Linked DNA regions of Drosophila melanogaster. The protein of the gene in region 1 interacts with the protein of each later gene in a pairwise test. Each region holds a gene or a part of one and is shown in the gene's direction. Other genes may lie near its edges.

Region 1 (9,095 bases):
GAAATGACTAATGTGGTGAATCTAGGCCACTCAATATTTTCCAGATTACGCTTACATTTATTTTCACAGATTTACCCATAACTACATATTTTATGATCCTGTTGGCGCCACAGTCGCACATAAATAACTCATAAAAAAGTGCCCACAACAGCAGCCCGCAGATAATTCAACAATTGTGTCTGCCGAATGTTTTTTACGATCCGCAACCGTTAGGAACCCGAAGATCACTTTCCCTTCGACAAGCGGTAATAAATTAATCAAATCCCGTGCTGGACGTAATTTTTCCAGGGAAAATTGCAGCTCACACCTACACAGTGAAATGGATAGTATCTTGAGGAATATCGAGGAGTATCCGCAGTAAATGATTTGTTTGACAAGAAGCCAACAAACTCAGTGGGATGCCTTTGCCCGGTGACTTCGCAGAATCCGTATCGTATCTGAGCAAATGATCGGGAAATTGCGGGACAAGATCTCAGTCGCCAGTTGTCGCCTGTGTGGCCATCATTAACCTTTGAACTCACTAAATGGCCAAAGGACCACAGCGAATGTCAAACGTCATGGCCACTTATCGAGTGCGGACTGTTGTTCCTGTGATCTTATTAGGCATTTTCGGGAATTTCAAGGGGTTCGCTTCGGACGCAATTATCACCCCCGCATAAAGCGAAACGTCATCGTTGACAGCCACGTCATTGTTGTCCAGTCCGAAGACCAAAGTCCTTCGAACTATTTGTTAATGAATAGACAGAACCATACAAAAGATTCTGTGTAACTCGAAACAGAAAAAGGGGGTCAATTCAAATGACAAACGTTCGATAGTCCGAGATATGATAAGCCTTGAAAACCTAATTAAATGACACGTTCCAGGGAAATTCGATTCAGGCGTGGCTACATCGAAACGTTTTAACTGATGGCAAGCGATTTAACTTAGTGATAAATAGTTTAGAAAATTCAAAGTCATTTTAATATCAAGGAATTAGTGAGATTTTTTGATGTCCCCAAGGCAATTGTGCAACCAAATAGACCAAAAATGTAATTTATCTGCAAACTTACCACTAATCGATGATAACAATTTTGAAATAAAATTTTTTTATAAACTTTTTTCTTTGTTACTGTAAACTATTTAATATTAGCCAATAAATAGTAGCATTGAAAACTGCTTGCAATTTAGGTTCGGGTTTACTGCTTGCTGACAAGTAAAACAAAGTATACATATGTATAATATACATTTTACTGTAAAAAAATATTCACATTGTAAGTGTATAATGTCATGTAGAAAAATATAGTTATTTTGCTTAGGACTTGTAAAATGTTTTAACCATTTTAGACCTTAATGAATAATTTTAAAAATTGTAAAATTTATACAAAAAACATAAATAATTATTTTTCTGCCATCCTGCTTAAATTTAACGATGCGCTTAAAGTGTCAATTAAAAATCTATCTATGAATCAAAATCCCGAACAGCAGCTGTATCTGCAGAATGCATGCAATGTAGTTGGAATAATAAATCAGTAATAATAAAATGATAATGATAAATAATAAATAAATTATATTGGTATTTGGTCAAGTCCAGCTAAAAGCTAATAAAGCTCCTTAGAAAAAGTTGCTTTGCATTAGTTTCTCCTTGCTAGGAAGATATAAAAATAGATTCCTCATACTGAATGATAGTTAGTTGTGTATAATATATGGGAATGTGTAGTGACCATTCGCTAAGCGAAAGTTAGAAGGAAAAATTGCAAATGTCTCGATAGACTTTCAGTCAAAAAACGAACAAAATCTATCGAGTGTTAATACGAATAAAGTGCATTGCCAAAGACCCATCCCCACACAGCAACAGTTTAACAATGCCGACTTTCAATTCCCATGGCAACTGAGGAAATTCCGCCGTCGTTGTTTATTTTGGATACAAATTTTTTGATAATACAATATTTTTTTAAATATGGAGATAAAAACATAGGACAAAGAACTCCAGTGAAAATGTGTCACATAAATAAATCTATTTTGTACACATAAATTTGGCAAGCGGTAGACCTTTATCCGATATATATATTTTAAGTTTTTAAAAACCTCAATAACGCAACATAGCAATAGTTAGCAATGCCGACGATCCCGAAGAGGGATTACAAACCCAATGGTGGTGGCAAAAGCTCAGGAATGGATTTCCTCAGTTCCGGCATCAAGGGAACCGAGGTCACCGAGATGCAGCTCAAGTGGCACGAGAATCCTTGTCCAGCGCCACCATGCAAACAGGCATTTTGGTGGGCCAGCCATCCCAAGCCGATCAAAATCAAAGGTTGCCCCAAGTAAGTATCAAACAGAAGCCACCCAAAGAATTTCCCATGCTTCCCTGTAATTCCCTGTAATTTAAGTCCGACAAGTAGGGTATATTGAATATTTCGTAAAATTATATTATAATATTAATCAACTTTCTTACTTTCTTTGTAATTTATATAATATATAATAATTCAATAAGTAGTTAAGAAATCATTTATACGCTACAAATATGAACCATTAGAAATTGTAAGCTCGAGTTAATTATCATGGGTATTACTCCTCTTGTAATGAGTATCCTATAGTTGCAAAACCATTGCTTTTTGTAACGCCTTGCAGGGGAATTTTCTACACCTTTATATGTCTCCCCACTGGGGTCAATGGAACCCAAGACCAAAAACGAAAGTCATAAATTGCGTAAATAAATTATTAAACGCTGGCCGTGTTCGGCTGATGGTCAATACAATGGCCCCACTAAAGGACACGCAAACTTGGTACGATTTTGAATAGAAACATTCGTGTTCTGAAGGGAAACAATAGAAGGAGTGCACAGGACAGGAAATTATGAGGAGTGTGGAAGTCGATGAGTGCTTAAAACTATTGTAGAAATTGACGCACTAGTATCATAAAAATATACAAATATATCTGACTACCGATAATGACGGGGGCTGGACTTGGGTCGGATTAAGGTCAACCAGGGAATAAGGATGATCCCCAAATATGATAAAAACCCAATAAACTATAGTGTATCTAAATCCAGTTGTAGTAAAGTGCTCATTCTTCTCTCAAGCTAAAAATCGAATAAATACTACAGTGTGGTATATCTTATATCTTATCATTTATTCGAATATATTAGTACATCAATTCTGAACTGTATATGTTCAAATTAGGATAAGAATACCGTGCTTTAGGTCAGCCAACGAATTTAATCATATAGAAGTATGATTGAGTGAAAGAAAATTACCTTTTTTAACAACAGGCTTTACCAAAAGCTTTTGGACTTCTGATACATTCTTACCAATTCCTGTTACAATAATCTTTCATCTATTCACTGACCTTTCTTCATTGCCAGTAAAAAAGAGTGACTCCTTGGAGTGCCAAGAAATCTACTTAATTATGCTTAGTTCCCTGTTGAATTCCGCTTATCAGGCAGTCCAAGCAATTGACCTTGGCCATTGACAATACCTAGGAGGTGTTCCAAGTAATAGAGAGCCACCCACCTCCTTTTTCAATGTCAGGCAGGGAAATGCGTGAAGTCATCTCCGACAATGTGAAAGGAAATGTGGACACCATCGAAACAAATTCAAGGTCCCTCCGCCGGGCGAAACCTTTAATTGGAGACCCCAACGAAACTACTTGGATGGAAAAGAAAAAGCTCTTATGCAAAGTAGAATTCCTGGGAACGTGGATTTGGCCATGCCAATGCCACCGACTGTTAACAGTTCGCATTATTATTGCAACACCTGCCCATCATGTGCCTCAAACTGCGAAGCAAGCGATACACTCAGAAAAAAATTTGAAAAATATGTGTATATAGTATAGAAACTTACATTGTGGCACGCACGCGAAGTATTGTTATTTAAACTTATGAAACAGCAACATGAATAGTTTAAATATGCAATTTTCTATATAAACCAATTGCAGCACTTTAAGGATATTTTTACTAAAAATGTCCTTTGAAGTAACAGCTCAATTCCTGGAAAGCTTTAGTCGTGGGCAGTAGGAGACTATATGTTCCACATATTTTTCCAACTGCACGACGACTGCTGACCACGGGCCGAATCCAAAGTCGAAACCGGGTCCGAGCGCGAGTTCCACGAGTCCTGCGAGTCCTTTGGTCATTTGGCGTTTGCCATTCGAGCCGTGCGGTACGTGTTCCGCGACAAAATCAAACAATCAACCAACGAACGCAACACCTGAGCGGCGCACAAAAGGGAAAAATATAGGAAAAGTATTGATTAAGTTTTTCGGTGCGGCGGGTGAGAGAACCGTGTGGTGGCTATTTATAATGAACGAGGTGACCGGCGGCCGGGAGCAGGGATAACCGAGACGGTAGCGGAGACCATGCCAGAGACGGAGCAGCAGCAGCACCCAGCACACTCACATCCTGAACTTAAGCCAGATCCACAGCCAGTGCCAGAACTGGAGCACCTCACCGACAATAGACCGAATCGCGTGCAGAACTTCTCCTTCGCCAGCAGCTATCCCTACGCACCAGGACGCGTCTCGTCCAGCTCCAATTCGAACACCAACTACAGCTCCACCAACTACAACGCCGGCGGCTTCAACGTCCAGCGCTATCAGAGTCCCTACAATTTCCAGCACGTGGTGACCAACGCATTCTCGGTGCTGCGCCATCAGCCCTCCGAGGAGCCCGAATTCGATTCCTATCCAACGCGACCCCAACAGGCCATCGTGCGTCCGATTAGACGTGAGGCGGGCATAGCTGATAACCGTGATAATCATGTAGGGAATCCTCCACAGCGATCGCACTTCTCGCGCAGCAACCAGGAGGTGCGCAGCTTCGCCGATGAGCTGAGCCAGAAGCTGCGCTTCCTGGCGCCGGAGGAGCAGAACTACGGCGGTCGCCAGAGCGCCAATTCCGGTGCCTGGATGGATCCAGCGATGTCGCAGCGACCACGATTCGAGACCACAGTGCCGCAGGGCATCTTCCTGCCGCCTCCGCATGAGGTCCAAATGATACCGGCCACCATGCTGAGGAGGCATGTCTACGCCTACTCCTCATATCCCATGATCCTCCAAGGGTATCTCACCAAGGAGACCGGCAGTGAGAGCAAGGAGCAGAAGGTGACCGCCACCCGGCTGAACGGTTTGCGTGCCACGGCGGCAGTGGCGGCGGCCACAGCTGCGGCCTCCAAATCCTCCCGTAACGATACGCAATCCCTCGCCGGTGGACTCCACATCACCAAGGCTCAGTTCCAACAACAACTGCAACAGCGTCGCTCCACCAGCAACAACAACAACAACAGCAGCAGCAACATCAGCGACAAGAGGTAATAAAAAGACCAACCCCCAAAATGGTATGGGTGCTAAACTTGGAAGTAAAAAAAAAAAAGGTGGGAAGTGGAAAAGGTCCGACAACTGACCAAGGCAAAGTGGGCCAAAATATATTACCATAAATTCAAATGAGTAATACGTACGTACCTACACTGCCATTCTGCAATGGAACCAGAACTTAGCTCCCCACTTCAGTTCCTACGGCCATTATCGATTGACACCCAAACAATTCAATTACAAATAGGTTTTGTGGTTTAAAGTGCCGAATTGAATCCTTCAAGGATTTGTTATCTAAACTGATATAGATTCAAGATGATACCTTATTGATCTGTTTTTAGACTTTACTATGACACGCAAATAGAATGGAAGGCTCTTCATCAGCCAAGTTTCTTGTGTGGCTCACCCACTTTCACAATTAACTCTTTAACAATTCAATTAGAAATGCTTTTCCAATAACATTCGGACATTGTAAATTCCCTGAACGGTTTGATTAATTTATTTAGCGCATTCTCGAATGGGAAAACTCGTTTGCCTTGCATAAAAGAACATGCGAACAAATGGACAAATGGACAAAGGGACAAAGGACCCTCGAATGTGTCGTGCCAGCGGAGAATATTCTATATTCCCAGCTCGGGGCTTAAATAATTTAAATCAAGATTTCGTAAACAACAACAATATGTACCCATTGTACCAAAGCACAAATGGAGGGATATTAAGTTCAATTACCACACCAGAGAAGAAGGACACCTATGGCACAATAATAAAAAAAAAAAAAAAAACAAAAAACAGGTCCTGCCGGTCGTTTTTACCCAAATGGGATGTTGTTCGGCCAAATGGGCTATACTTTTTGGGTTACGAAAAATGAAATATCACACTCAACGTTTAAATAAAGAACCTATTAGGGAGATAACTATTTTATAACTCAAAAAGGATTCACCAACTTAGATTTTCGTTCAGACCATATATCCCTCATAAGGACATCGCACTAAGGGTTTCCCGTTCCATTTGCTGATGTCTGTGGTGCGCAGACCCAGACCCAGAGAAATGTTGTTAGACATTCGCCAGCAACTTCAATGTGACTTCCTGTTTGTGGGCCAAAAGTAGCTGCGAATTTGCATAGGTCACGAGTTCAGGTGCCAAGTTCTTCTAGTGCAATGTCTAACTACGTTATATACTACTTCTACTCGCAGTCAGCATGTATGTATCAGCATATATGTAGAAATGTAAGAAATGTTTGTTTCCCCATTTACTTGCCGGTGCTATACATATAAATTAGCAAGTCATAAATTACTCAGCCACCGCGGACTGGACTCGTGGAACTTTAAGCAGGCTTTAAACTCTGACCCAAAAGTGTACTGAACTTTGGCGAAATTGATTCGAATCGGAGATGACCTGACAAGCAGTCTGCGAGGGCGTTGGGAAATGAACAAATTTGATGTTTATCGCCTTGATAGTGCAACAGATTTGGGTCTTGGCAAATGCAGCAAAGTGCACTGAAACTGCAGCAAATCAAAACTAAATAAATAAAATATTTAAACTTTAATAGAAAGAAGTTAACAAATCTAAAGATAACTAAAACTCATACACTTTTAACTTGCTTTTCCAGCAGCAATTACAATATTTATCCATACATAGATATCATATTTATTAGAGAACTTAACCATTTATGTAGTAATCCTTTTAAGTTGCACATTTACGAACCTTTTCAAAAAGTCTGCAGCTTTTTTGCTGCATGAGCAGTTTGTTGAACTGGGTCGAGGCTTACTAATTGGTGGCTCCCACCTGGGCAACTCCATGCCCGCTTCTCCACTTTGCTCCTCTTGCAGACCCGTCGTCCCGCCGCCGGAACCCTACAAGAACGTCATGTACGACCGTCGCGTCATAAAGGGCAGCAACTTCGGCAACGCCTCTCTGGTGGTAAGTCCCATCAGTTCAGCTCAGCTTAGCTCAGTGCTCTGGCAGCCCTGACCTACGACTAATCCACTTTTTGCTTCCTCTCCAGACGGATGTGGATCCCTTCGACAAGGCCGCCGAATTGAGGCGTCGCAATATGTTGCGCAAACGGACGATGCAGTGCCGCAATCAGAGAAATGTCCTGGGCACACCGCCGCCGGTCAAGGGGCGGAAGCACGAGACCATACAGACGGAGAAGTATCTGGAGAAGTTGGTGCAGCGTCCGCCGGAGTTCACCATCGACACGCAGACGGACCTGTTCCTCGAGAAGCCGCCGACGCCTCCGTTCATACCGGCCAAGGTGGGCGTGGATGTGGCCACCGAGATCGGTGAGGGCGAACTCTTCCACTTCGATGCCGAGGCGCAGCCAATCATCGATGTCCTGGTGGACGCCTGCATTGAACAAAGCATGCTGGAGGTGGCTCACGAGATGGAACTGTCCAGTCTGCGACGCAAACAGGAAGAGTACGTATAAAAAGTGTAAAGTAAATCTTCAGATTACTATAATGGCGTTTTGTGTTACCCACAGATTCCTGGCCCAGAGGGAGGCGGAACTGGCCGAGCTGCGCCGTTTGGAGGCTGAGGAGCTGCGCTTGCAGGCGGAGAAGGAGCGTCGCCTGCGACAAGATGCGATTGCCAAGGAGCTGGACGCTGAGATGCAGAAGAGCGTGACGGCGGCCAAGTTGCTCCAGGGACACATTGCCAGTCTGGTGCCGGAGGTGCTGGAGAACATTGAGCCGGCCAGCGATGCCGTTAAGAAGGAGCAGCTTATGAAGAGCGTCTGCCCGTGGTTGTCCGCCGAGGTGGCCGAGGAAGTGGGCCATATAGTGGACTCGCGCGAGATTCTCACCGCCATCATTCAGGAGATTATCAAGCAGCGTGCCGAGATCTATGCCGGCTACAAGGAACCTGAATCGGAACCATCCGGACCGGATGCGGGCGTTTGTGAGGAGGAGGGCTGTGCCATCGATGAGATGGAGGCGTGTCCCTGCGAATCGGAAACGGAAATGGAGGAGTGCCCCGAACCGCCACCACCGGCTCCTCATCTCTAAGTGATTGCGTTCGAGTTTTAGTTCATATATATATTTCGAGTGGGATACTGATTCCGCACACATGTAACACTAACACACTCCTGCTATTAAATCAAGGTTGGCTGCAACTTTGTGGTTGTGTCTGGTGAAGAACTCAATTCGCCGCAGGATTCGAATCGAGCCTGGGCGCCAAACACAATTGCATAGCGGCGGCGGCGAAATGGCATCGAAAAAATGGAATGGCATATTGTAAACTGGATACTTGTTAAAGGTTTTTGTGTTACCGAAAATTCAACCAATAAAGCTCAACAAAATAAGCCGAACAAAACATTTTAGAAAATATTTTAAACGGTTGTTAAATTAAATTAAAATATTAATAGAGCCAAGCAATTTGAAATTTCAATGTTACCTTGGTATTTAAGGGGTCTGCATGTACGGTCACACTGCACGTGACGTCACATTGTTTTTTCCATACCGAATTAATGAATCACCACTGACCGAATTTCCTTGTTTTCACAACTAATTCGGAAGTCCAGGGTGTAGTGAAGATGTTTTCCAGCGGCCCCAATTACAACAAACTGAAGACCAATCTTCGATTGGCTCTCAATCGCCTGAAATTGCTGGAGAAGAAGAAGGCGGAGCTGACGCAAAAGTCCAGGAAGGAAATAGCCGACTATTTGGCCACGGGCAAAACGGAAAGGGCGAGGATTCGCGTGGAGCACATCATTAGGTGGGTGCAGGAATATATGAGCCATTCTTATACCTCCATATATCGTATATATCGTACATCATAGGGAGGACTACTTGGTGGAGGCAATGGAAAT
Region 2 (4,146 bases), on another chromosome or scaffold:
ACGACTAATTGATGCATAAGTAACGAGGCTGTTAACGGTTTGGCCTCCAAAAAACCGAAGGGTTGCCGGCAATTTAAAGGGGAGTAAGGATCAGAGGAAAACTGGGAAATCGGGGTGGCTATGGCCATTCTGGCCCATCCTGTTAGCTAGTTAACATCCACGTGCTTGTACATGAATTTAATCTCGGGGCAAACAAAGTAACAAGAATTCAATTTGTCACAGTGGTTAGCCCCGCCTTCTTGAGTATCCGGGGTTACCGGAGTTTGTTCGACGGGACTGGGTTCCCTTGCTCTCTCCGGGAATGGCACACAGAGCTAAGTGAAGCCGGGGATTCGAAGGTGGCCAAGGATCCGGGAAACATCGCCGGGCAACGGTGGCTCTATCTCTCTGAGCTACCCATGATCTGGATTTGGTAGGGGGAGCATGTAATGCACAGAGAGAAATGGGAGAGAATATTTCCTGTTCGATTTAAGGGTTCTTCTGTGTGCATAAAGTATTCAACGCTTTTTCCACCAATACTGGTTGCCTTTCTTTCGGGCAGTGCAGAGGCGAAACTAAATGTCGCGAGGGAGATGGTGTAAATATTTGCATTTCGCTTGTTTTTTGGCGTGTTGCGTTAGGCAAAGCCAAAAGGCTCCGGGGACTTGTTAATGTAAACAATGCGCATTTGATATTGAAAGCATAAGTACGAGGAGCTGGGGCAGAATCGAGCAATCGGAAGGGGGCAAATACAGCCTGTGTATTTCGTCCTTTTGGGGTAGTTTTGTGCCACGGAGGAAAGGGGCTATAAAGCTTCACTTCGCTTGCAGCAGCACGAACTCCAACGCAGGCCTGCATTAAAGCGTGTATCCGGGGAGCACTGGGTGACAAGGGAATTCGATGTAGGCTTGTGTACCGAGCACACGCTGTGGAGCCGGATCCCTTTACCCCTCCCTTAATAGAAGTAGAGGCACTCAACAAAATACAAGGTGGTAATAAGGACAAAGCCTCTGTGAACACTTGGAACAACCTCATCTGTATAGATATATTTAAAAGAAATCACTGGTAGTCGTATCTTAAGATCTTTCTTTTCAATGAATCTTATAAAGATAGATTTCCGATTTTAGAATTTTGGAGTGGATGCACATACAGTGCTATGTAAGTTTAAAATTTGAATTAATTTCGCGAAGTGTGTGTCTGCCGCTTGAGTTGGTTACAAATTTTAGGTTGGCGGGCCAGTTTTGTTGTTAGTCACAGCTGTGAGTGGCCCCTGCTCGACGAACACCCCCCCTTAGCTACAGTTTCTCCATCCCTGTATAGAACATCATTGTCATGAAAATCTGGGGACCCTCCACCTTTAAGCTGTCCTCTAATGTGGGGGCTCTGTGCAGGATAGACTGGATCCCCTAACCATCGTTTTAATTTTGCCACCCAAGCGATAAGGATTAGAAGCGGGGGATGGGAGTCATTTAATGGCTTACCTTATCTTCGGCTTCCTCGGCGCGTTCTTCCGCTTCAATGACTCGCTGTTCGAGCTCCGTTAGCTGCAAGTAGAAAGAAAGAGACTTGGTTAAAACACGCATATATCCTTAATAACAGGATCTAAACATGACTAAGCATTAACAATTGTGGGATAATATTGATGTCTTATTCTGCAGCTTTAGTTTGTTATATATAATTACATTTTTATATTTGTAATTTATACATCGTTTCGTCAGATTTTCAGGAGTTCTTACCAGGTGGGTGCCCCTGCCCCTGCCTTTATATATATCTAAATTTTTCTTCCGACAACTATTAAAATCTAACTAATATTGTAAAAGGTTTGAAAAAATATACTTAATTAAATATAAATACTTTTGTAGATCTGTATGTAAAATATTACGTGGCGCCATCTATATCTGAAGGCGTGTTAATTCTGAAAATTGCCCAAGTAAAAGGTATCTGATAGTCAGGGCATTTGACCACAACGTTTCTTCATGGTTTTATTTCATAAGCCACAGAATACTTAATTAACTTTATTAGTTGGGAATTGGTTATACTTCCAAAAAATTATTCTTAAGCCTCTTAGTTTTCAATGGATCTGTAAAAAAATTTACAGTGTAATTTCAAATTCGATTCTACAACCCGATGTAAACATTTATCTGATACACCCTCTAACAAATTATTCAACTTAGTGCAGACACAAACCCTGATAAGAAGAAGTTCCCAGTATTTTCCGGTGTGGTGAATTCCGTTTGAGCTCTTAAAAAATGGTTATTTTGCGGTCCTTATGCTTTTGGGGTTTTTCAGCATGGGAGGTTTTTCATTGGGAATCATCTACCCAGCCACCCAAAGGATGGTCTATCCATCAATGAATCAATCATGGGAAATGACACACAATTTGCAGCTAATAGTAATAATGCTCTCTAGCTAATACAATTCATGTCGCTGGGATCTGCTTCTTTGCACCTGGTATTACGATAATTTTGGAAAACGGGGCTAATTTCGCCCTTGGTCGCTTGCTTCGCGCGTTCTGAACTCAATGGATTGCCATTTAAGAAAGGTGAAAAGCCGGCCGCGGAAATAGCCCTCGAGGAATTCCCGTCCAATTAATCACCAAAGTGGCCTACGGAACCCAAGAGTCCAAAGGGAGGAAGGGCGTAGAGGAAGATGGTTAAACGTCGCTAAGGGGTCCACTTGAAGCGCGCAAGAGATCGACTGCCGTCTATTTTGAATGTCTTAAGTGCATTAATTTCCGCTTTTTATGCCATTCAAGTGGCCACTCAGTTAAGGGGGCGGACGGGGGTGTGGAGCCCATTGATTGATGGACGTCAAATTGCTGTGCGAAATATGAAGAAGCCTCCTCTACCGATGATGAATGGCGGAGCGGAAGTGGCAGGAAACGTCAGCTTGACTTGATGGTAAGCTTTCATACATCTCTTCAGTCTGAGTTAACCTTTGCTAAGCTGTTTGAGGAGTATACTCGTACTCCTCTACTCAAAGGAGAATCTAACTGCATATCCAATCAAATGTGAAGTACAAGTACCGTCTAAAATTTCCAACATTGTTAGGAAGTGTTTTTATTTGTTCGCTTGGTCGCTTGGTAATGACTAAGTCTACTTAGTGTACTAATTGGCTGAGCCATTCCCTTTGCCAAAAACAGCTGCATAGCTGCACGATTATAAATAGGGTGGAACCACCGACAAACTCGCCCAGAAGCAACAAATATGTGCTCTAGTTTAAGCGACTTGTTTGCCTGTATCAGGGCCCAGGGAAATTCCGACACGGATTCCACCAGCACCACCCATCGGCGGAATATCGCTGACCTGGACGATGAGGCGCCCGATCTGCAGCTCCAACAGGAGCAGACCCGCAAGTGGAACGATCTTTCTATGCCACAGCGACACGATTCGTTTCCAGTTCCTCCTCCTTCAGCTGGATCTCCATCAACGGGCTACCTTCGTCCCTCATTGCGGTCAGCACGGGTCTCCTACGAAGCCTTGGAGCGCTACGATCGAATTTTTGGCAGATCTTTCCAAGACGCCGGGTCATCTGGTTCAGTTCGAAATATTCCCGACCAGTTCTAGGCGGAAATTGTTTGGGATTTCGGCATTGACATTAAACATGTGATCCCGCATATTCCGCTAAAAGTCGAACACAATAAATACATTTTACACATTTTCCTGACTTGACTATATGGACAATTTACTTGCATGCGATGGCTGGCTGGTGTTCGGCGCTGCGACGAAACTTGGCCAAACCATTGGATTAAACATAAAGCTGAAAAGGCAGAAAGTTCGGTTCGACTTGCGTGCGTGAAAGATTGCGAAGGTTTTACCGGATTTGGCCGTCCTCATCCGTACACCTGTTTAATCAGGGGCGTTCTGGCCTGCCAATTGGCGACTTAATTGGAAGGAAATGAAGCGGCGGCCTAAAGCAGAAAACATTTGGCATTAATTGCTGGTGGTGTGCCAAGGGGGGTTGGGGAGGGGGTCCACTTTCCTTCAGACACTTCAGACTTAAACACACAAGTTTTACAAATGTGGCACGCAGTCGCAACAAGAACGGAAACGGAAAATGTTATTTCGCAGCCACGAATGCAATTCCAGCAAACAAATGGCTCACAATGGGTGAAGTAAACCCCCGAAGCCACTACTGCCAAAGGAGGTGACTTTGCCCATTAGTCGG
Region 3 (4,482 bases), on another chromosome or scaffold:
GATTCTATAAACAAATACAAATAACTAAGCTAAGCTGATAAATATAACATTGTTGGGCTTAGGCGAATAACAGATAAACGATGGGAGACATTAAAAACAATTACTTACAGGGGCTTGTGTTAGATTGTACATATATTGCATACGAATTATAAATATCTATATTATATATCTACTGTAATGAGAAATTAACTAACCTTAAGTCACCAGGATTGTGTAAGAAGAAACTATTTTATGTAGAGCTCTGCGTATTTATGTTTGTTACCAATTAACCTACTGATTAATTGATTGAACTAAGAATAATATCCGCAACCACATGCTTATATATATACATATATATATATATTTAGAGAACGAAACCAAGCATCACCCTTGAAATTATTGTATTGTGAACAGGCAACCACAACAACAGCAGCCAATTGTAATTGTACTAACTCCATTGATTGCATATTTATTATTTTACACCTAAGTTATAAAATCATGTACATTTTTGTGAACGTTTGTTTGCCTTGATTGAAGCTCAAGCGTAATCATAATTTGTAACGCCTATCTTTAGTTCGGCTCCCTTGTATTCTACTAGTTTAACAATTCTTTCGCTTAAGACTAGCAATTAGTCCGCTCTGGTATTTGTCCAAAATTGTACACACACACACACACACAGCAGGCAGATATGTATATTCCTATCGGGGCGATCGGTCAGACTTGTACAGGCAAAGTTCCATAGCATTTTTTGGCAGCCATTCAAGACGCGCGCACTTTTTGCACGCTGTCGAGGAATTTTATATTTTTATTCCCTAAAGAAAAAAGTTTAATAAACTACAGATTAAAATTCAAATTGATTTATTCTTGTTGTTTTCTTGTAATATGCAAAATATATGGTATATCAATGGTGTTCCTTGTACTCCAGCCACGCTCGTCGCCCCCTTCTGCCACGAGAACCGCCTTCACACTCCGATTGATCTATACGCTGTTTGGCCTCTTGCGCTGCTTTGGCGGCACTTAGTGCCGCCTTCTTGGTCTTATCGTAATCTAATCGAGCTTCGCTAAGTTGCCGCATTAGGACATTAACCCGCCGCTGGGCAGCCTCTAATAGTGCCGTCTTGTCGGCGAGCGATTGTTGCCACACTGTGTATACTTGATCTGAGGCATCCTTAATGTCCTTGGCCAACTTGAGGCTTATGGTCAGTGTCTTGAGCTCCTGCTGGACCAATTGGTGCGTCTTGGCGGCAAGCTGTGCATTCGACTCGGCGGTGATCAGCTCCTGGTTTTCCTCCTGCACCACCATTTCGGCCTCCCTGACCTCCGCTTCCAATTGCTCCAGCACCTGACTCTTTCCGAACAGCACTGCTTCGGCAGCTTTGGCCGCAGCGTTTGCCTTGTCTGCGTATTCACCTTTGATTTTATCAGCGGCCTCCTTAACGGCGTTTTTCATATCATCGTTTGCCTTTTTAGCCTCGTTGGCCGCCTGGACGGCGATTCCGGAGGATCGCTGTTTGGCATTAGTATGGTTTCGCGTCTTCTTTGCCGGCGAGTTGCTATCCTCCCCTGACATGTCGCACACGGTTCCATCACCAGGACCACCGCCACCGAGCCCACCAGCGAAACTCCTCATCAGGTCTGAGTCCTCCGTCTGCATTGGCTTTCGGCGGGTTCGATAATGATTGCCAGTAGCGGATGCCGGGAGCGAGGATAACACAATTATTAGCCACATGATCTGAGTGTCTATCCGCATTTTCCGTTGTCTCGAGCATTTTTCCGACTGTCAATCGGATGGAGATGCCATGCCTGTCAAATCCGGAAATCGAGATTATGCTCTATTGCCAGGCAATGTGCTTATTCCTGCTTAGCCTTGCTTGCGTTTCGCGGAGCCACATAATCATGATAAGCGACTCGGTGAGTCCTAACCCTCGAATCTGTGGGTAAAGTCCTAGTCTATAATTTGTTTTCTCATCGCCATTGAACAAGGATCCTGTTGTGGCTCGATTGTATGAGCCAGCAAGCGAAAAGAAGCAGACTGCAAGTGGAGGATCATCGGAAGGGTGTGAAACAAGTTCTGCTGTGCAAAATTCTTGTGGCCTTAGCCAAAAGAATGCCAAGAGCAAGGCTTCCAGCATTGCAATTAAGGCCGCCCAGGACGCCAAGGCGGCCAATGACGCCCAGATGGCCGCCGGAGAGGCAGCCTCACTCCAAGTGAAACAGGATCTGGCCGAGAAGGCGGTCCAAGCTGCTCGAGCCGCGGAGGCAGCTCTTGCTGGCAAGCAACAGATCATGGAGCAACTGGAGCTGGAGGAAAAGGAGGCGGTGGCCGTTGTGGACGAGGTTAAGAACTCACTCCACAGCACACAGGTGAACGCAGAATCTGCCATGTTAGCGTTTTCCGAAGCCAAGATTCAGCTGGACCAACTGAAAGTCCTTTTGGCTGAGGCCACCGCTCAAATGACCAACATTGAAACTTTCGCTAATGGTGCCCAATTGGAGATGGATGAGAAGGGGCAGCTGTTGGAGGCGGCCAATCGGAGAGTGGAGAGCATCTCCAGACAAGTGGTCGCTGCCAGGCAGGATTACGACAAGACCAAGAAGGCTGCCTATAAGGCGGCTTGTGCGGCAGTGGAGGCCAAGCAAAAGGCTCAAAGGATGCAAAGGGCGATTAGCTCTGCATCCTCTTCAAGCTAGAAACGATCAATATTAGCCATTATCACTTAAATTTTATACATATATATATATTTTTGTAAAGTTTATAATGCTACTTTTTTAAAAATAATATATTATATCAATATAATAAAAAATATACTGCGAGCATGTAATTAAATAGATGCATAATACTATTCATAGCTGCTGGATGTAGGATATACATATATGTTGTATCCATCTAAACAATGAAATTAATGAAAGGCAAATATCCGAGGTAGTTTTTCCGAATTGTTTTTGCTAAGAGAAGGTAATTTTTCAGTCAAACCAGGCTTTCCGAATGGAGTCAGCGTCGAGTGTTTCCAAATATTTGATCGGAATATGCCTGGCACGAAAGCGCTGCTCCTCGTCCTGCTACTGCTGCGTGCGTTCCCTCGACTGGAGAGCTACCACTACCGACCCGCCGAAACGAATGACAAGCAATGCCTGTCCGCATTGTACGGCGATGCCAGCATCGATGGAACTGGTGGGGCGGGCGGTTTGGGAGGCGGATCCGAAGGCTGTGGGGAACCTAATTCGAAGAAAGGGGTTGGCTGCAGCAGCGGAACCGGCGTCTTTGGTCGCGGAGATCCCAAGCAGAAGGCCTCCAACATTGCCCAAAAAGCCGCCCAGGAGGCCAAGGCAGCCAGCGATTCGCAGATGGCAGCTGCCGAGGCGGCTGCATCCCAGGTCAAAAACGAACTGGCCGCCAAGGCAGCTCAATCCGCTCGTGCGGCGGAGGCGGCACTGGCCGGAAAGCAGCAGATTGTTGAACAGCTGCAGCAGGAGATGACCGAGGCGGATGCGGTTGTCACTGAGGTGACCTCGTCCCTACAAAACACCCAAGCGAATGCCAATGCCGCCGCATCGGCTGCCCACGAGGCCCAATCGCAACTCAATCAGCTGAAGAACCTTGTGATAGCCGCCACGTCCAATCTGGCCAATATCGAGAACGTGGCCAGTGGAGCGCAGCAGGAGCTGGCCGAGAAGACGCAGCTCCTGGAGGCTGCCAAGCACCGGGTGGAGAATCTAACCCGCCAGATGACCGAGGCCAAGACGGACTTCGAGAAGACCAAGCAGGCGGCCTACAAAGCGGCCTGTGCTGCAGTGGAGGCCAAGCAGAAGGCACAGAGGTCTCGTCGAATGACCCACCGCCAGCAGGTGCGCTGGGGTCCGCGCAAGATGGCCGGAAAGTTTTCCGGCGCAGGCAGCCAAAATCTAGCACCGAATTCGGGGATCAACTGATCTTTTCTATATTTTGTTACGTTTCGATTTCGGTTTAATAAGTTTCCTATTAAAAGATAATGGTTTTATAACTAAAAATTAAAATGTTTCACGATAATTTTGTTAGTATTAAATAAATATATTTAAATAAGTTTAATTTGCATGGAAATATTTGATTTATTCTTTTGAATTTAATTTAAAATTTTAAGCCGTTAAATTTTGCGTCTACGCTGTTAAGTGTGCATCTATGTCAAATGAGACTGTTACGTGCACTGTTAGCCGAGTGATGGGCAGCACTGGTGGCACAGCTGTTCAATGTTATAAAATCAACCGGCAAATTGTTTAGACGTTTTTTTTTTTTACTTATTTGTATATTAAAATAGCTTTTAAAGTGATGCTTATTAGAAGAATTAAGTGCCTCAGATATTTGGGAACTCGCTACAACAGTTCGCACTATGTGACAACTCCAATTTTCTATGTAAATGCAGGTAAGCATTTTAGACCAAATCAGTCAATATTACGGATAATAAAAAGAAATAATTTTTAACAAATAGCTCCTCACATTGGACACCTGTACTCAGCGGTCATAGCCGA

The links. The genes of interacting proteins can lie anywhere in the genome.
Region 2: the proteins of Rsph3 (region 1) and CG14635 interact in a two-hybrid assay, tested with the Drosophila melanogaster proteins (one large-scale study listed by BioGRID).
Region 3: the proteins of Rsph3 (region 1) and CG14840 interact in a two-hybrid assay, tested with the Drosophila melanogaster proteins (one large-scale study listed by BioGRID).

Annotation. Positions count from the first base shown.
Region 1 is NT_037436.4:6,756,129-6,765,223, reverse strand, and holds Rsph3 (radial spoke head protein 3), read left to right. Parts: upstream 1-4,109; 5' UTR 4,110-4,333; coding exon 4,334-5,283; intron 5,284-7,113; coding exon 7,114-7,204; intron 7,205-7,289; coding exon 7,290-7,705; intron 7,706-7,769; coding exon 7,770-8,292; 3' UTR 8,293-8,595; downstream 8,596-9,095. Other genes in the region: Ist1, read left to right, coding at 8,820-9,001, 9,066-9,095.
Region 2 is NC_004354.4:841,652-845,797, forward strand, and holds CG14635 (uncharacterized protein), read left to right. Parts: upstream 1-3,171; 5' UTR 3,172-3,185; coding exon 3,186-3,545; 3' UTR 3,546-3,646; downstream 3,647-4,146. Other genes in the region: CG43867 (uncharacterized protein), read right to left, coding at 1,461-1,523.
Region 3 is NT_033777.3:14,259,708-14,264,189, reverse strand, and holds CG14840 (uncharacterized protein), read left to right. Parts: upstream 1-2,976; 5' UTR 2,977-3,006; coding exon 3,007-3,909; 3' UTR 3,910-3,982; downstream 3,983-4,482. Other genes in the region: CG14839 (uncharacterized protein), read right to left, coding at 881-1,729; CG14841 (uncharacterized protein), read left to right, coding at 1,774-1,890, 1,963-2,670; MetRS-m (Methionyl-tRNA synthetase, mitochondrial), read left to right, coding at 4,283-4,376, 4,443-4,482.